Linked DNA regions of Notamacropus eugenii. The protein of the gene in region 1 interacts with the protein of each later gene in a biochemical or structural test. Links are inferred from orthologs where the notes say so. Each region holds a gene or a part of one and is shown in the gene's direction. Other genes may lie near its edges.

Region 1 (10,644 bases):
AATCAGCTCTAAAGGATAGATTGTAACGAGCCTAGGGATGACAGGTCTTGGGGGTAAGAAGGCCTTCTGAGGCTGCTTCACCAAAAATTTCAAACAGCAGAGGGCCAAGTACAGATCCCTGGGGTCCTCCACTAGAGACCTCCCTCCAAGTTAGCATTGAGGTCTAGCTAATTCATCTGACTGCGTACCCTTGGTTGCCCAAGGTGCCAGCCTGGTTGGTCCTTGGACAGCCCACCCTGAGTGTTGTCCAGACCCCTTTCATCGTACCAGGCTGGTATCACTCTCCTGACCTGAGCCACCTCCACATATGACAAGTCAGAGGTGGTATCATCATATGTGAGCTGATCTTTCATGGCATTTTATGGTTTACGGAGCACTCATGCCCTCCGAGGCACCATGGTGTCTTGGAAAGCTTGATGGGCCTGGAGGACCTGGATGGTCCACACCCTGACTCTGCCAATCACTGCTTCTGTGACTTAGGACAAAGTTATTACCTTCTCTGGGACTCAATTTCCTTACCTATAAAATGGGCAAGGGAAGGCCCAAATGAGAGGGCCTCTATGGTCCTTTCTGGCTCTAATTCTTATGATCCCCACAGTAGCCCAGTGAGGGAGGGATTACTCTCCCATTTTACAGATGGCATTTAGCAGCATTAAGGAACATCCAGTTGGTCAGGGTGACAGATGTAGATATGAATCAGGGCAAAGTGCTGGGACTAGTCAGGGGTGTCTGGGTCATGAATTAGGAGAGGGTGGGCTGCAGAGTCTTTTTTGGAGGGCAAGGCAAGCACTTTAAAAAGAGAGCCCTGATGTGAGGGAAGGGACAACCAAGCAGCCACGGGAGGTCCTGCAGGGAGACGCTAAGATTAACCGCCCCCTCCTCTGGGAGTCCTTCACTCATGAGGGACCATGCACCCAGCATGAGTGTATTTCCCCAGAGATCCACTGGAGGGAATCTTCACCAATCTTCAGCCCTCCCACTCCCATTCCACCAGGCGGGAGCCAAGTTCAGAAAGAGTCTCCAAGGAGCCTTGATTAGGATCTCAAGTGACTTGCCCAGGGTCACACAGCTAGTAAATCCAGGTTTTGAGCCTAGGTCTTCTGACTTCTCCAAACCCCAGGGTTTTTCCACTGCACCACACTGTCTCAAACACCATCCCACCCACATATGAACAAGATGCCCTTCCACAACTGCTCTCCCCCAACCCCTAAGTGCTAGATGACTTTCAGTGTGTGTATGTGTGTAATGTGTGAGTACACATATGAGTGTGTGTGAGTACACATATGAGTATGTGTGCGTGTGCATGTGTGTGAGGAGACACTCACTATTTCTACTTGAGGACAGCTCTCTTCCTTCGACTCCCTCCCATCCTGCAGCTCTGCCCTCTGGCGCCAAACAGGAGTCTCTTCCACAGGATAGCCTCAGATTCCTGAAGACAGCAATTAAATCCCAGCCTCCCTCGATCTCCTGTTTTCCTGCTGGTGTTTAAAGCCTGCCCCAACTTGGCTTCACTCTCCTTTGCAGGCTTATTAGAGATTACTTCCCAACATATTGCCTTTCTTGCTGATAGATCCCATGCTCACCACATTCCATCTCCTGCCCCCATGACTTTGCCCCTCTCTTGTCCCTCCCTCCAGGACTGCCTTCCCTCCTCATTTCCTTCTCCTAGAATCCCCCCTCTCGGTTTCCTACAAAATTCCTGGAGCCTTTGCTGATGCCTCCTGGTGCTAGTGCGATCCTCCTGCAAGGATCAGCTTCAGTATTAACTTTGCACACACTCATTCTGCTCCCTGAGGAGAGAGGACATTTTGTGGTTGTCTGGACCTGCCCAGCATCCAGGACCATGTGTGGTACACAGGAGGTGCTTAATAAATACTCATTGAATGAAGGAATGAAAATCCTTTCAGATGATGTTTCCTGGGACTCAGTTCCCTCTTCTGTAAAACAATGGGGCAGCCAGCCCTGGCCCCTGGCTTTCAGTGGAGGAGTCTAGTGAAGGGACGAGGGGCTGAGCCCTCTCCAGTCTCCCTCATTTATTCCTTTACATTCCTCAACCTCACCCCACGTCCTCAGTGACTCAGAAACTAAGTCATCTGAAAGTGAGTTCGACACGATGCCAGGGGGGAGGGCAATGCCCCGGGAGGGCACGCCGGGGCAGCTCCCTACCCCCCCACTGCCCCACCCCCAGAGGAGGGGCCTGCCCTTACATTTCTGGTCCTGTGTTGTCCTCACAGGGCAAGGATTTAGGATCTTAGGAGCATTGCAAACTGGAAAGAACCTCCCTCCATAGCTAGCTGGCCCAACCCATTTTATGGAGGAGGAAACTGAGCCTCATCTGGGCTAAGAGGTTTAACCAAGGTAAATTCTCTGTCATTTATTAAATCCAAGGCTCTTTTTAATGCTCCACAAAGCTGGAATGAGGGCTAGAGCCAGTTTGGAGAGGGCTGACGGCCATTCTCAGAGAAGTACAAGTCGGTAAAGAAATTGAGAATCAATCACGTGAGAAGTCCCAAAGCTGGAGCAGGAAGCCACTTTAGATATGTCTTCATTTTTACAGATGGGGAGAACTGAGACCCAGAAAAGATCAGTGACTTATCCAGTCATACAGCTAATAAGTTTCTAAAGCAGGATTTGAATTTAGGCCTTGTTGACTCCAAGCCCAGCATTCTACCCACTGGGCTACCTAGCTCAATAGGAAAGAAAGAGAACTAGATCTGGGTTTGAATTCTGATTCTGTCATTTAATCCTTGTATGACCTTGGGAAAGTCATATCATCTCTGAGCCTCAGTTTCCCCATCTATAAAATGAAGGGGTTCCCTCTAGTTTTCAATCCGTGATTCTATGAGCAACAGAGAGCCCTGTCTGGGGCCAACCAAGAGTGATGCCATCCTGGGCACCTCCTAGTGACTACACTCTGAGCATGGCACCTCCACTCAGAGACTTTCAGCCTCCTTCTTTCTCCGTGAACATCTCCTGGTCACTGCCCAGACTGTATCTCAGCAGAAAGGGGTGATGAGGGGTGTGATAGCCCAGTCTGTCTTGCATGCACAACCAGATCTGATCAAATATCTCCCCGTTCAAAACTCAACTGTGCCTTCCCATTGCCTTCTGGATGAAATCTAAACTCCTTATTCTGACATTCGATGATGCCTCTAGGTTTGGCCCAAATCATCTCTCCAGCCTTATCTTTTCCATGAACCAAATGCTCAGTCCAAGCTGGAATATATGCCATGCCTGGTAAATACCACATGTTCATCTGTAAAATGGGTTCGACAATATTACTTCTCTTCCTTTTGGGGCAGCTGTGAGGCGCAAATGAGATAATCCCCTGGGAAACCTTAAAAACTAAATGAGCATTATGACTACAAACAGTTTACTTAACCTGTCTGAGACAGTTCCTTTTATTTTAAAAAAATCTTATTTATAATAATAATAACTAAGCTGCTATAGTGCACTGAAGTTTGCAAGGTACTCCAAGTAAGCTCTTTCATTTGATTTTCATAGCAACTCTGGGAAGCATGGGCTTTTATAATCCCCATTTTACAGATGAAGAAACTCAGATTAAAAGATAAAACAGACGCTCACATAGCTGGAGGCGTCTTAGGGACGATTTGAACTCAGAGCCCAGTGCTCTAGCCACTATACCAGCCAGCTAGCCACTTATTGCAAATTTAATAATCATTAACAAGCATTTCAATGTACAAAGAACTCAAAAAAAGAGGATTGTGTATCAAACTGAACTTTTAAGTATTTTCAGTTTTACAAAGTAGCAGCCAAATTGCCCTTCCTTGGAAGGCTTCGATGGCCATTTGGGGGGATGTTATAGAGGGAATTCCTTTTGTATGTGGATCCATCTGAGGTCCCTTCCAACATTTAAATTCTGTGATTCTTTGTCCCCTTCTAAACTCTGGGGGTTTTTCTGTGTATTTTTAAGTGTTCTATTATCTTAATTTTCTCATCTGAAAAATGGGAATAATTCTATCCTTTATTTGCCAGTTGTTGAGTTCAAATAAGATGATACATTGTAACCCTTAAAGCCTTGTTTGTTATCTGATGACGATGATGACAATAGTGATAATAATTCCCTGGCTCCCCCTCCGGCCCTTTCCCAGACCCTCTACTGCCTCCATTAGCCAGGTCTCTGTATTGCAGGGAAGGTTCAAAGGTGTCACTGGACAGTCACAAAGAACAAAACACTTCACTCTCAAACATCACTCGGGCACAGAAACGCCTCATCTCAGCTCTGGGAGGAGCCAACTTCTTGGTGCTGAGGGAGGCTCTGTCTTTACATGGAGAGGAAAGGTTCCTGTCCAAGGCAGAGCCTTGCTGGCACCCAAGGGCAGAGCAGAGAGATGGGTGGAGGATATAGGATCAGCTGGTAGCTGCTCCAGCATTGGACCCTTGCTCTACCCGATCCTGAGGCTGACCTGAGGGAGGTATCGTGGGCTCCAGGAGTCAGCAGACCTGGGTTCTGTTCAACACAAGGGCTGACAGATACATCAAGTCAAGCTGTAGGCCAGCCTTCCCTTGCTCAGGACATTGGATGAGACCTCTGAAGCAAGTCACTGCATCTCCCTAGATCTCTGTTTCTTCATCCGCAGGATGGGGGTGTTGGGAATTGGGAATCAAAAGGGTGCCCATCACCTGGGGAATGGCTGGACAATGGAATGGAATCCTGCGGTGCCATAAGAAATAATGAAAGAGACAGGTTTAGAGAAACCAGAGAACAGTCATGCCATGACCAGCCATGATTCCAGATGACCAATGATGAAGCACACTGCCCAGCTTGCAGGACAGGGGGCAGAGGGCGTAGCCACTCTGTCCACCAGAAAGAGCATAGTCCTGGCTGAGGGTGGGAGTCCTCGCTCTGCCTGTCTAGGTGACACCAGTGTAGAGGGTGATGATAATAACTCATCTTTTTCTCAGCACCTAGATCTCCTCCCATCTCCAGGCAGCAGTGCCTAAAAACCAAAAAATCATTAAGTGCTAAGTGCCCACGGTGTGCCTGGTACCAGGCATGCTAAGCTTTGGTGATACAAAGCAAAACTGTCCTGTCCTCAAGTAGATTAAGTTCTCATGGAGGAGATAACAGTCAATCAACAAGCACTTATTAAGCACCTACTGTGTGGGGGGTTCCCTGCCCCTATATTTACATATATCGGTATTTCCCTCTAGAGAATGAGAGGCAAGGAGTCTTTCCCACATTTCTTTGTATCCTCAGAAGCTCCTAACACAGTGAGTATCTGGTATATAACAGGTGCTCAATAAATGTTTGTTTGTTGACTGCCTTCAAGGATATTTCATTCTATCAAAGATCTGTACCTATACAAAGTCCCTGATATAAGGGAGGAAGGTGAGATTTCTTCTTTCCCAGATAAGTTGTTTTAGTCACAGATAATGAGCTTCTAATACGAATTCACAGGGCATTAAACTAAGTATAAGTTTGCTGCCACATGTGGTGACCCCTTTCAAATGTGACTCCCCTTTTGCTGACAGAATTAAAGGGAGCGATCTTACTGGGAAGAACACCTCAAAAGGTGTCAGGGTCTTCCGTAGCTAAGGCAGGAAAGCATTCCTGTAGGGAGCACAGGCTCAGAAAAGTATTGAGAAGGATATTTTCCTCTCCTTGCCCCATTCCCCACAGTGACTGTGGCCTCTAGAATGACTTGCCCAGAGGGAGATGTCCCACCCAGGAGACAAATCCAGGAATTCATTATTTTAGAGAGTTTGAGGCAGAAATTGAAGAAACAGAGGCACATATCCACAAGACAGCTGGTAGGAGAGAAGTGAGACACCTGCAGAGAGGAGAAGACATGGGAAAAAGAATCTAGGAACCAGAGCCATTGCAAATGGTGATCATTTAATATCATTTTTGGACTTTAATAAGGTCCAGAGCCTGACCTAACCAATCAGAAGAAGAGCCTAGATCTAACAGCCTCTTTGTTCTCTGAGTAAACTCAGAAAATACCTCTTCCTATGTCAATAAGGCCACATGGGGTTGACTTAAGAGCATTTTTCCTCTGTTTAAGGATGTGACCCTTAACCCGAGAAACTATCTTGAATAATGGGACTTTTCCGTATCTTAATATTTTTGGATACATACTATGTTATGGCATGTTAATGATAAAGAAAACACAGATATCCTGGGTCATAATTTAAACTGACACTTTGTCAACTTTCATTGTATTTACCACCTATTCAATTAAGAAAGTTCCTTTCTCATGGCATAATTAAAGACACATGGGGATTATAAATCTGAGGGACACAGACATCCTGGGATTGTCTTAAAACAGATTTAAGGCTGGTCATTTTGTATCAGACAGTCAAAATTTATGTTTTGGTTCCTTGTACGTATAGGTTAAACTAGCTTTGGCTAGCTGTGAGGAAATAAACAATATGAATTTACACGTCACCTAGTCTGTTTGCCTCTTTAACCAAGCTTTCAGGTTGACACTCTCAAAGGGAGATGCATGAATCTGTTGTTATTCAGTCATGTCTGACTCTCTGTGACCCCATTTGGGGTTTTCTTGGCAGAGATACTGCCATTTCCTTCTCCAGCTCATTTTACAGATAAGGAAACTGAGGCAAATGGGGTTAAGTGACTTGCCCGGGGTCACACAGCTAGTAAGAGTCTGAGGCTGGACCTGAGCTCACAAAGATGAAGCTTTCTGACTCCAGACCTGGGGCTCCATCCTCTGCACCACCTAGCAGTCTATATGAAGACTTTCCAAAGAAAGAAAAGACTTGGAGGCCTTGCAGTACCAAAACTTGTGAGTTGCCTTTTCTGTACACATATACACGTCTCTCCACTGTCTTGTTGTACTCAAAAGTTGAGCCTGCTCTTACCATGGATGCTGTGTGTATTTGTGGGAGAGTGTGCCCCAGGTTTATGGTAGAAATGTTTTACAGCTACTTTTTTTACTTTGCTGCCTTAATAAATATCTTTGCCAAGAGATAATTGTATCTACTGGCTTATTGTTAATGGAAAACATGCTAGTGGAGGCTCATGATCTATAAGACTTGAAGAGTTGGACAGAAGTGAGTGATTGAACAGCAAGGATTCTAAGGGTCAGAGGTCGGGAAGGAGAGGAGGGGGTCAGGAATGAAGGGGGAGGGGGAGATTGTGTAAAAACGTGGAGACAGGAGGCATAAAGTCATGTGTGAGAAGGTCAGTTTGGCTGTAGAGTGCAGCAAAGAGAGAAACACACAATAAAGCTAGAAAAGTAGGTTACAACCACGTTGTGCAAGGCTTCATGTGCCAAACAGTTTATATTTGTCCCCAGTGGTCATTGGGAGCCACTAGAGTTTCTTGAGGAGGAGAGTAACCTGTCAGATGTGCTTCAGGGAGATCATTTGGGGGCTTCATGGAAGATGGATTGAGGAAGGGAAATGGAATAGGAGGCAACTGAAATAGCTGAGATGAGATGGGAGGGGAAACAGAGCTAGAACAGGGACTGTGGTAGTGGAGGGAAGGGGTCAAATGGAAACAGAAGAGACGAACCTGAGTGATCCACTAGATATGAGCGAAGGGGAGCAGGGAGTCCTGGAAACCTTAGGAGAGACAGTAACGCCCATGACAGTAATGGGGACATTTATTTGAGCAGCAGACTTGAAGGGAAAGATAATGAGCTCTGCTTTGGCCATGGGAGGAAAGAAGAAGGCACTAAAGTCACAGGACCCAGGATGTTCCTACTCCTGAAGAGAATGATCAGGTCACAAACTAGTGGATGGCTTCAGAACCTGACAGGGCAGCCCAGTGGGCAAAGCAGGCATGTTGGCAGCAGAGGGTGCCTAGGTCCCCACAGGGGAAGGAGAGGAAGGAGACCATAAATTTATTCATTCAGCAAATATTGATCCATTGTTTCCTCTGTTCAAGGCATTGTGGGGAATAGCAGAGATCCAAGCCACCGTGGAAGCCCTCAGAGATATTAGAATCTGAGAGAGATAAGACATGTACAGGGCAGCTCGCGGTAAATTGTGTAGGAGTTCAGCAAGGTCTAGCCAAGACTGTTTCATTTAAGGAGATCACATACAAATGCAATTAAAGGCACTTCACAATCTACATGGCTAGGGGTAGTGGGGAACTATGAATAGAAGGCTAGAGTCAGGAAGACCTGAGTTCAAATCCTGCCTCAGGTCCTTACCAGCCTGATTCTGGGCAAGAATCTAAAAGGAACCTTATCCCCTCCCTATTTTACAGGTGAGGAAACTGAAGCATGGGAGGCTTACCTAGATATAGTGGAAGGGGAAAGGAGAGAGGAAGGGAAGGAGGAAAGGGTGGAAGGGGAGAGGAAGGAAGAAGAGGGAAGGGGAGAGGAGAGGAGGAGAAGAAGAGAGGGGAGGAGAAGAGGGGAGGGGAAGAGAGAGTTGTGTCACCCTCATTGCTAGTTGTGAGGGCAGCTGCTCACTTTTCCTTTCCTTCTCTTTCAGTATGAGAGCAACGGATCAAGAGAATTCCTTGATTTTAGTATTTAGGCCGTTGTTTGGAGGCAGCCATAGGACATTGGGATCTCCTACTGCCAGACTGACTGAAGATCCTTGTTCTCTCTTTCTTACCTAAGGGAGCAAGCTGGTCATCTCCTGGACTCTGGTTCTTCAGGATTCCAGCTTCTTTCCCCAACACCATCCTCTGTAGTGCAATAAGGAGGTGGAGTTTGAGTAAACAGTTTCTCCCTCTCTCCAGAAGGCACATGGCAATGGTGAGTATGTACTTACATGAGTTCTGAGAAGTGAGTTCAAGAACACTGCGTCCTATAGAGAGGGATGCAGAATTTTGAATTCTTTAGGCTATGTGACCTCAAATTTAGTTTAGCCCCAGTCTTAGGAATTTTCTTGTGGGCCACCCCAAAAGTCAAGAGTTTGTGGATCAGACCTAGAGAGAAAGGTTGCTCTTCAGTCATTTCAGTTGCGTCTGACTCTGTAACCCCATTTGGGATTTTCTTGGCAAAGATACTGCAGTGGTTTGCCATTTCCTTCTCCAGCTCATATGCCAGATGAGGAAACTGAGAGCAGGAGGATGGAGTGACTTTCCCAGGGTCACATTTGAACTCAGGTCCTCCTGACTCCAAACCTCTTGCTCTATCATAGTGCCACCTAGTGGCCCCAGAGAGAAAAACAGGGAGGAAGTTTTCCTGATGTGGTATGATACTTGGAAAAAGGAGAGCTGTCCACATAACATGGTCACTGCATAGTACCCTACTTAGACAGCAAAGTCAGTAAGCAACTTGGATTGCACAGTATTAGAGAAAGAGTAATCTTCATCCTGTCTCCACTTCCAACCCTCAAAAGTGGCATGAAATCTGGAAAGTTGGGGCTGTAATAAAAGCTAGTTGAGCTGGCAGGGGAGGGGAAATTCTAGACCTGTCCAGGCCCTTCCCTCTGTCACCACCATGCCAGGCTCCTCCGAGAACAATATTTCACCAGTTCATTCAGCCGTGACTGTCTGCTTTCTTCTCTTCTTTTGGTTTGAATTTCTGATTAAAAAAAACTCGGGGGAACCAGATATCTCCTTCCCAATGCCTTGAGGACTGAAGTATCCCTCAAGGCCCTGTCTTGAGCCCCCCTCCCTTTTAGTGACATCATGGACCCCCATGGGTTTAATTATTGTCTCCCACAGATGACTCTCAGTCCATAGATCCTACCCCCATCACCCTTTGAGCTCCAGTCTCATATCACTTGTTGAATTCCCACAACTGAATACCCCATAGGCATCTCACACCCAACATGTTTATTGCCTTAAAAGCAGACTTGGCATCATGGAGAGAGGACTTTGGTTTGAGCAAGGGGTCTATTACCTTAACATCTTTAAGCCTCAATCTTTTCCTTTTTAAAATGGGGTGGGTGGGAACTAGATAACACCCTCTCTAAGTCCTGAAGAAAGATGGTCTAAGAATAGGGTTGGGAGGATCCAGGAAGAGCTAATGGTGGGTAAACTCGGAAGCTTATCTTCTGGAATCATGTCCTAGGTCACGATGTACCCTGAAACAGCCCAGAGGATGTACCTAGCAGGTGTCCATGTACAAGCCAGCCAGCCCCCAGCATTCTAAGGGAGCAGTGACTCCAAAGGTGGCTTCCTCGCTGGAGTCCTATCTTTTACCCTCTCCCTGTGCTCCCTGGGGATCCGAGAGGTGCAAGAGCCAAGTCTAAAGTTTGGGTCCTAGCCCTGAATGCAGTCACTGAGACACCATTCTTCTGTCTCCCTATCTGAAAATGGGCACAATAATATCCATATAAATGTTGTATCAGAGGGCCTAGGAAAACCAGGATGGATTTTCTGGATCACTTTGCTCATAGCCCCCATCCAGGAAAACTGGAACAATGTATATACTAACCATGTTGCCTTGGACTAGTATCTTTCAAGGCTCAGCTCAAGGTCCCTACATGAAACCAGTCCTGATCTCCCAGTTGTGAGCACTCCTCCCCACAAAAATTACTGCGTCTTTCTTTGGATTATACTCTATTTATTTGTCTGGAATTGTTTTATTTCTCCAGTAGAATAGAAGCTTCTTGAAAGCAGGATTATTTCATTTTGTCTTTCGTTTTCCCTTCACCTCACCATGTCTGGGAACACTGGGAAAATGCTCATTGGATTGGAGAATTGACTAAAGGTTCCCCATCTGTCTTCGTACAAGGCTCCTGCCTGAG
Region 2 (9,936 bases), on another chromosome or scaffold:
TGACTCTAAAGCCAGAAACCTTAGGTTCAAATCCTACTGCAACCATTTACTAGGTCTAGGACCTTGGGTAAGTCACTTTTTCTCCTGTTTCCTCAAATGTAAAATTAGAAACTGGAGTGGGTGATCTCTAAGGTCCCTTCTGGCTCTAGTTCTATGTTGTTTCCCTCCCAAAATCTTGATGATATAAATGTAGCTAGGGCAACTCATATCTCAAATGCTGCTAATGTCATCTAGTGGTGTTACTATATTATTCTCTTCTTAATCACATCACCTCTCCTTTGCATCCCTATACTGGTCCTGTGGTAGATTCTTCTACTGGTCTTGTGGTCATTGAATTTTTTCCTCTACTAGCTATTGAGATTAATCTCTCTTGAGCACTGTGGGATAGTGTATTTGGAGTTTGGAAGACTTGGTTTCAAATCCCCTATTGGACCATCTTAGCCATGTGACACTGGGAAAATCATTTCCCTTCTTTGTACTCTTAACTCCTTACTCATTGGATTACTTGGCTTCAGAGGTCTCCTCTAGCTCTAAATCTATAGTACTACATAATGTGATGACCTGTTGGATCTCTCAGCTCCTATGTAACCAGACATGTGACTTGATAGAGTAGGTTGAAATCTCTTTAGCCATTGATGAAGGTATGAGCCACCATAAACTCGTTGTTGTTGCTGCTACTCCTACTTCTCCTCCTCCTCCTTCTTCTTTTTCTTCTTCTTCTTCATGTTCTTCTTCTTCTCCTTCTGCCATGTACAGCTCTTCATGACCCAATTTGGGATTTTCCAGGCAAAGATACTAGAGTGGTTTGCCATTTCCTTCTCCAGCTCATTTTACAGATGAAGAAACTGACGCAAACAAGGTGAAGTTAGTTGACTATGGGAACAAGGCTAGTAAATGTCTGAGACCAAATTTGAACTCAGGTCTTCCTAACTTCTAACTTAGCACTCTATCCACTGCCACTTAGATTAGGGCCACCAAACAAAAGGTAGACCAGGTACCTCCAAGCTCAGATTCAATCTGTTTTTTGGATTTTCTCTTTCTGGTGCTGAGATCAATCATCCCAGACAACTCTCAGAGTTAGACATTCCTTGTAATTCCCATTTAACCTCTTAGAGAACCAAAACCCAGTTCCAGTGAACTTCCCAGAGAAATTCCATAGGAGCAGCATGTCTGGACAAAACCTACTTTTCTCCCAAGATCCTTTGCAGGGTGGTATGTAAATCAATAAGAGCAAGAAGACAGAGCAAAATCATTATCTTCCATTCTCCTAGCTTCTTTCCTACTTGTATTCTGTATGTCTATCAACAACAACAAATCAAAAGCAAAAACAAAACCAACCTTTATTTTGTGCTATGCTATTACAAATGAAAATGAAAGAAAAGGCATTTACCAAGTACTGACTATGTTGAAAGCACTCTGCTACATACTTGGAATAAAAAAAAGACAAGTGAAAAAACCCTCCTTTCAAGGAGTTCACATTATAATGGAGGAGGTTTAAGATGAGATTTAAGTTACATGAGATTTAAGTTACAAGTCAGAAAGAACTGAGCTACCATTGCAATATGGGATGCAAAAAAACCCTCTCATTTCTTCTTTTCGTCTTCAAAGTAATTCTAGAATGAAACTAACCATAGTCTTCCACATCTCTTTCTCCGAAGAAAAGGCAGCTCAGTAATATAGTCTTAGATATGAATGAAAAAGAAATCAGACTTGGGAAATATGTATTTGTATTATTTTTTAATGCCCTCTACAACCTGGCCCCAATGTATCATTTTAACCTCACTATGTCATACTCCCCTACCTACATTTTCTGGTCCACTCAAAATGGACCAGATGGCACTCCCTTCTATCATCTCCATGCCTTTACATTGGTCATTCTCTATGCATGGAAGGTACTTTTTACCTTTGCTTCCCAGAATCCCTCAGTTCCTTTGAGTCAAAGCTCTAATACCACTTTCTTTTTTTCTTAACAGTATTTTATTTTTTCCAATTACATGTAAAGATAGTTTTCAACATTCACTTTTGTAAAATTTTGAGTTCTAAATTTTTCTCTCTTTTCCCCTTCCCTCCTCCCTTCCCAAGATAGCAAACAATCTGATATAGGTTATACATGCACAGTCATGTTAAACATAATTCCACATTAATCATGGTGTGAAAGAAAAATCAGAACAAAAGGGAAAAACCATAAGAAAGAAAAAAGAAAAAAGTGAAAATAGTATGCTTCAATTTGCATTCAGAGTGTTCTTTCTCTAGATGTGGATAGCATTTTCCATCATGACTTTTTTGGAATTGTCTTGAATCATTGTATTGCTGAGAAGAGCTAAGTCTCTCGTAGTTAATCATCATACAGTGTTGCTATTGTTGTATACAATGTTCTCCTGGTTCTGCTCACTTCACTCAGCATCAGTTCATCTAAGTCTTTCCAGGTTTTTCTGAAGTCCTCCTGCTTATCAATAGTATTCCATTACCTTCATATACCACAACTTGTTCAACCATTCCTCAATTGATGGGCATCCCCACAATTTCCAATTCTTTACCATCACAAAAAGAGCTGCTATAAATATTTTTGTACATGTGGGTCCTTTCTCCTTTTTTATGATCTCTTTGGATTACAGACCTACTAGTAGTATTGCTGGATTAAAGGGTACACACAGTTTTACAGCCCTTTGGACATAGTTCCAAATTGCTCTCCAGAATGGTTGGATCAGTTCACAACCCTGCCAACAATGCAGCAGAGTTCTAATTTTCTCACATCTTCTCCAACATTTATCATTTTCCTTTTCTGTCATATTAGCCAATTCTGGTGGTAAATTGCTGCACTGTTTTTGCTAATATTTCATTTAAATTTTTGCATTAATATTCATATTCAATTAATACACTAATTTGTCTATAATTTTCTTTCTCTGTTTTGGTGTTTTCTGGTTTTGGCATCAGAACCACTTTGTGTCATAAAAGGAATGTGGTAGGACTTCACCTATTTTTTCAAATAGTTTATATAGTATCAGAATTCATTGTTCTTTAAATGTCTAGCACAACTTTTCACACAAAGTTTTTCCTAATCCCACCCCCTTCAAACTGCTACAGTCCTCCTTCCTTATCTTGAGTTTGTTTTTGTATTTAATCTCTCTATATATTTATATGTAAAATACACATTCATACAATACATATATATGTATACACACATACATATATATACATATTACATGTAGTACCCAATATTAAAGGTAAACTCCTTGAGAACTTGTATTGTCCAATTTTTTGTTTGTTTTTGTATCTACAGTACCTATGGCACTATAAATCTGATCAGTTCATTAATTACCTAATATGGGATTTTCAGTCTTTTTTCTTCTAGTCTTTTTCTTCACTTCCCACTAACTGCTCTCCTTGGTTTTGATTCATTTCCCTTTGCCAGGTACTCATGCTCTCCCCTCCCCAATTCTTCCTTTTCTGTATCATCTTCCCCCATTAAATTATGAACTTAAGGGCAGGGATTATTTTTCCTTTTTTATTTGCATCCCCAGCTCTTAGCATAATGCCTGGTGCATATTAAGTGATACATGTATATATGTATATATGTGTACATGTACATACACACACACAGACTGACTCTTTCTGAACCATAGGCATGACCAACTGCTAAGAATTCTTCTTTAATCTAAATTGAATTCAAATACTCATAAGAGTATAAACCCACAGTTTGTTACCACAAACTCAAGGTCCCATGATAGTCTTTTATGTCCTCTACAAGAAACAGAGTAGTCCCAGCCTGATTTTACTTCAAAACCCGAGCCTGAAGTCCTTGATAATATTTATCACTAAATTAACATTGTTTTACTATCAGTAGAACCAATCATATAAAATATAAGACACAACTGAAGTCTCTTTATCCTAGGATTCTACACAGAGTTTCCAGTGACAGAAAGTCTGTCTGACACAAATTCACTTTCCCAAGTGCCACCTGGAGTAGTCCAGTCTTGCTCAGATACTCTTCCCTAAGATTTCTAGAATCCTAAAATTCTAGAATTTTGAAGTTACAAGGGATCTCAAAGGCTATCTAATAGAAGCCCACCTCTGAAGAATGAGTATTTTTTCTTTCTTCTATTTTTTTTTGGGGGGGGGAAGCAATTTGGGTTAAGTGATTTGCCCAAGGCCACACAGCTAGTATGTGCCAAGTATATGAGGCCTTATTTGAACTCAGGTCCTCGTGACTCTATGCACGGTACTCTGTCCGCTGCACCACCAGCCCTGTGACTGCTTTTTCTTTAGTCCCATCACTTTCTCTTTAGTGCCCAATGTGTGAGGTGTCCAAGCCAAGGACAGCTGGAGAACTAATGACCTTTAAAGCTGGGAAAGAAGCAAGGAGTCTTCTATTGTCGTTTCCTGAACTATCCCCTGACTCCGTTTTCATAAGATCTTTCTAGTCTCTAAATTCTTACAGGAAATTGATTTGTTGTCACCACCAAGAATGGTTTACTATCATTGTGGATTTCTATTCCTACGGGAGTTAGAGATGGAAAAGTTGATAAAAAATTATTATTTTAATACAGATCTCTGCTTCTCAGAGGGGATTCAGAGGGGACAAAGGGAGGGGAGGGAAAAGAAATAGAGAAGAAAGGAGGAACCTCTTGAGTCAGAGTCAACTGTCAAGTGGGCTGCTTCGCCTAGAGAGGCAACTTGCCCTGGAGGGCCAGGTCAGACAGGACTCTGTCATACAGAACTGACGCATGGACAAGGGGCAGGAGGTGGAGGCGGAGGGAGGTGGAGAGGAGGCAGAAGGCTGGTGACGCGCGCCAAGAGGCTCAGAGCAGGCTCAGCCCACGGGTTCTGGAGATTTAAAAGTTTGGGGACAGAAGGGCTGTCAGATCGGCAGCTTCACAGTGGGAAGCAAAGAACAAGTGATCCCAGGACACTCGAGGCCACTAGGAGGGGCCTGTGAGGAACTTGGGGACCACATACGCGCTCGGCTGTAGAAATCGACAGCCCAACAAGCATCTCTGGGCAGCGAGAAAACTCAAGGATGCCCAGGGATCACAGCTGCCGTCAGCTGCCTCCTCTGACTGGCTACACCAGGGCTGAGAAACAGCTTTTGGGATGTGGACGTCCAGCTGCTCCCCTCCTCCTGCTGCTCCTCGCTTCCTGGGCATGCGTCTGCCAAGGTAAGGAACCTGCCTACCTCTTCTTTAAGTGCCTGTTCAGGTAGTCCAATCCTGGACCCGTTTAAGAGCCAGGAGGGCAGACTAGAGGAACTTAGGCACCCATTCGCTCCCCTCACAAACACCCTCTTCTTTACTCACGAAATCACCCTTCCTTTCCTTCTCTCCTTCAGCTTTCTTCTCTCCACTGTCCGTTGCTTCCCGGTTCCCTTTCTCTGGCTCCACTGATGGGTCCTGAAACTGCAGCTGGAAGGAATATCGGAGATGATTTTTTAGTCCAAACACAGATGAGGGCGAAGTTTAATTTAACCCGTCATTTGTCCTTACTTATGTAACCTTTAGTGGTCTGCGTGGCTATTTCTTCCTCCCATGCAGCTAGAGAACATGCTTTCTCGTTCGCTAGGATTTTCCTACATTTTCTTTTTTACCATCTCGGAGCTCTAGCGATATTTGACAACTCTCAGCTTGAATTTCCAGAGGAATAGTCCATTCGTTCAATTCAGCATTCACAGACGACCTTCTAACACATGCTTAAGGCACTGAATCCTCTCCATGTTTGAGAAGTATTTGCTGAGGCTACTTTAGTGTGGAATAAGATGACTGACAGCAGTGCGTGATACCTGAGCTCCACAAACACCTGTGCTCACAATCACAGCATTAGAGGGCGTGGTTTAGACCTCACACTAGGCTTTCGGTCTTGACAAGTGAAAGAATAACGGTTATTAGCCATTTGTTTGGAAGGGTGCGGAGGGAAGGAGTCGCAGGTGGCGGAATAGAGAAATTGTGTCATTGGGATCCCAGGTTCATGGATTGGAGCTGAAAGCAAGCTTAGAGTTCCTATCCTACAGCTCCTTCATTTTTCATGTGGAGAAACTGAGGTCCATGGATGTTAAATAACTTTCCCATGGTCACTCAAATGGTAAATGGAGAACAAAGAACCTTCGCCAGGGTCTCTGATTAGGCAAACTGGCGTACAGCGTTCTGATGACTGAAGCTGGGAGGTAACACAGGAAGTTTCATAGCTCACTGAACTGGTCTTACAGTCTGGCTTCCAGTCAAGGATTTTGCATTTGAATAGGTGTAGGACCTTGGACAAATTACTTGCCCCCTCTAAGATTCAATTTCTTCATCTGCAAAATGAAGATAATTCTTTTTGGATTATTTTACCAAGATAATTTCTGTATCAAATGAGGTTTTACATACATAAAGCTCTTTATAGTATTAAAACATCACATAAATGTTGATTATTATCATTAGCTAATCACTAATTAGTCCTAAGAGCAGAGGTTTACTGCTTTCTGGAAATCCTTGATACCTGATGGTCTAGAAACCCTTGGATCCTGAAATTTGTAAGGACAATTATAAAAGTACTTGGAGCACTCATTTTTAAAGGATATGGTATATATCTATATATCAGTAGCCGAGAGAGACAGACAGACAAAGAAATAGACAATAGATAGAGACAAAGAGTGAGTGATTTAGAAGCTAGAGAGCCAGACTTCACATAAAGACCTGGGTAATATTTCTACATCAGACCTATATGGTTTACATGAGCCTAAGCAATTCACTTAGCTTCTTAGTGCCCACAAAAATCTCTAAAATTATAAGTTGAAAAATCATGTTGTTTAGATCTGTTGCTAGGTAGATTTCCCTATTCCAAAGAAATCACAGGTTTGATTTCCTTAAAATCCATAATAAAATGTTGGAAGGAAATTATGAACTTTTCAATATATTTTATGAACAACAGAAATCTTTCCACCATGATTTTTATTTTACATGATTTGTGATGGAAATTTTAAAAATTTAATATAGAAGAGAAATTATTTTCTGGAGATATTCAAAGTAATTTTTTTTTATTTTAATGTAGTCATGGTAAAGAAACAGGATATACAGTGAAATGAACTCTAAACTGAAAGTTAGGAGACTGGCTTGATTCTCCCATTTTGTAGCAGTTGGATCTTCCATGAGTTCCAACCTCTCTAAGTATCAGTTTCCTCATTATTAAAATGGGGAAGGGAATTGAACTAGAACAGGGGTTCTTAACTTTAGATCCACAAAGGATCCCTGGATAGATTTCAGTATCCATGAACTTGGATGGGGAAAAAAATTACATCTGTATTTTCACTATCCTTAAATGAAATTTAGCATTTCCTTCAAATATTTTGAGAAGGTTTCACGAAGCTGCCAAAGGGTTTGACACAAAAAAATGTCAAGAACCATGGGCTGACTGGTATCTTTAGAATTTCTTTCAGCTTTGTATTATTTGAAGGTTAGCTAAAACCTTCATTCCTTTTAATTCTACAATGCTCTAGCCACTATCTTTCATTACTGTCAATTAGAAAATAGGTATTAGAATCCAAATACATAAAAATATAGAGGAATTATATGAGCTTAGAAGAATAGAATGAAAGGAGTTAAACTGGAAAGAATTGACTTTAAAACTAGTTTGCTTTTATTTCCAGGTGTTCCAGTATCACCTCTGGCAATACAGACAAACAAAGAGTTACAGCTATGGAACGAGGTAAAAGAAATTGTTATATCTTTTCTTCCTTTAAAGCTACTGTAGCTCAGATTTTAAAGACAAATTTGAATGTAATTATCCCCCCAGCTTAAAAATGAAAAACCAAAAAATGTAGCATTGTAACTGAGAATTGGAAATCTGTGATTTTCTGTTTTAATAAGTTTATACTTTTATGTTTACTTTACAATCATTTTGGAACCTATGTTCACACTTTCATTAAAACTCCTCTTATAACAAAGTTAATAATTAAGTAAAACATATGCAACAGTGACTATATCTGACAATACAATCAACATTCTGCCCTGACAAGTCCTTGTGCTATGACAAGGAATGAATGTTTTGTTATCTATTGTCCAGAATCATCGTTAACTTTTTCAATTATTCAAAGTTTGTCTTCCTTTAATGATCTTTCAATCAATTAATACTTTTAACATTTATATATTGTAAAAATATATATATATATACATACGTACATGTATGTATGTGTGTATTTGTGTGTGTGTGTGTGTGTGGCACAGTGGATAGAGTACCAGGCCTGGAATCAGGAATACTCCTCTTCCTAAGTTCAAATACAACCTCAGACACTTACAAACTGTGTAACCCTGTGCAAGGTTCTTAACCCTGTTTGCCTCAGTTTCCTTGTCTGCGAAATGAGCTGGAGAAGGAAATGGCAAATCACTCTGGTATCTTTGCCAAGAAAACCCAAATTGGAGTCACAAAGAGTTGGACATAACTGAAAAATGGCTAAGCAACAAGAATATAATATACATTATATAGATACACACACACACACATACACACACATATATGGAGAGAGAGAGAGAGAGAGAGAGAGAGAGAGAGAGAGAGAGAGAGAGAGAGAGAGAGAGAGAGAGAGAGAGAGAGAGTTCTGCTTATTTCCTTCTGGATCAGGTCCTATAAAGCTTCCCATGTTTCTCTGAATTCCTCCTGTTTGCCATTTCTTACTGTAAAATAATATTACATTACTTCTTAGAACATTGTTTTTTCAGTCGTTCCTCAACTGATGTGTACTCACTTTATTTCCAGTTCTTTGCTACCATGAATATTTTGGTATATATGGGACCTTTATCTTTAACTCCATTTGGGATATGTACCCAGTAGTGGGATCACTAGATCAGAAGATATGGAGAGTTTAGTCACTTCTCATATAATTCCAAATTGAAATCCAAAATATTTAGCCAATTCATAGTTACACCAATATCGTTTTACTGTGCTTGTCTTCCCATAGCACTGTCAATATTAAACTTTCCTATTTTCTATCATCTTTGTTGATTTGCAGGTTTGAGGTAAAATCTATGAATTATTTTAGTTTGTATTTACTTCACTATTAGTATTCCATAGCATTTTTTTCCAAATGGTTATTTATAGTTTGCAATTCTTTTGAAAATTAACTTACTAGATGATTTCTTTTATCCCATTTGACTTCAGAGTAATTTAATTTGGTATATGTTTGTGTCAATTCCTTTTATAACTTGGACATCATTCTTTTAACTGTTTGATGCATTTATTTTTCCCATTCTGCTGTTTCACTTCTGCCTTTATTGACTTTTGAGTGGTATGAAACTGAAATTGTCTAGTTTGCCTTTTATTATCTCTTCTGTTCCTTGTATGGTTAAGAACTTTCCCTTAACCATAGTCAGAAACAATATCTTTTCTGAATTTTTATGATAATATTCAGGTTGAATCTACATTGTGAGTTTATGGTACATGATATAAGATTTTGATCTAAACCTCAGTTCTTCCAAACGTTTCCCCAATTTTCCTAACCAGTCTTATTCTAAAAAAGGGGAGTTTATATTCGTGTAATTTATTTTTTCACCTTTATCAAACAGTAGAATACTGTTTTCTTTTGTTTGTATTTCTTTGTGTTCCATTACTACTATTTTTTATTTGATTTTACTATTTTTTTTTAATTTTCAATTTCAAGGAATTTTTCTCACTTCTTTCCCTGCCCACCCTTCTGTGAAACAGCAACAACTTCAACAACTACCCAAAAAAAGGAGAGAAAAGAGAGAGAAATAAAATCCTTGTAACAAATATTCATAGTGAAGAAAAGCAAATTCTCCTTTTGGCCATGTACAAAAATGTATGCCTCATTCTGCATTTTAAGTCTATCACTTCTCTCAGGAGATATGTAGAATGTTCATCTTTGGTACGTTAGAATCAAGGTTTCCATTGCATTAGTTTTCTTCTTTAAAATGTTGTTATTATGTAAACTATTCTTGTGTTTCTTCTCTTTTG

Evidence for each region. The genes of interacting proteins can lie anywhere in the genome.
Region 2: the proteins of NMUR1 (region 1) and NMU form a complex in vitro, tested with the Homo sapiens proteins (2 studies listed by BioGRID). The link is inferred for Notamacropus eugenii from reciprocal best matches to the Homo sapiens genes NMUR1 and NMU.

The regions. Positions count from the first base shown.
Region 1 is NC_092873.1:58,532,948-58,543,591, forward strand, and holds the start of NMUR1 (neuromedin-U receptor 1), read left to right. Parts: upstream 1-6,477; 5' UTR 6,478-6,716; coding exon 6,717-6,770; intron 6,771-8,561; coding exon 8,562-8,699; intron 8,700-10,644. UniProt on the Homo sapiens protein: Receptor for the neuromedin-U and neuromedin-S neuropeptides.
Region 2 is NC_092877.1:107,019,691-107,029,626, reverse strand, and holds the start of NMU (neuromedin-U), read left to right. Parts: upstream 1-4,925; 5' UTR 4,926-5,017; coding exon 5,018-5,156; intron 5,157-7,615; coding exon 7,616-7,674; intron 7,675-9,936.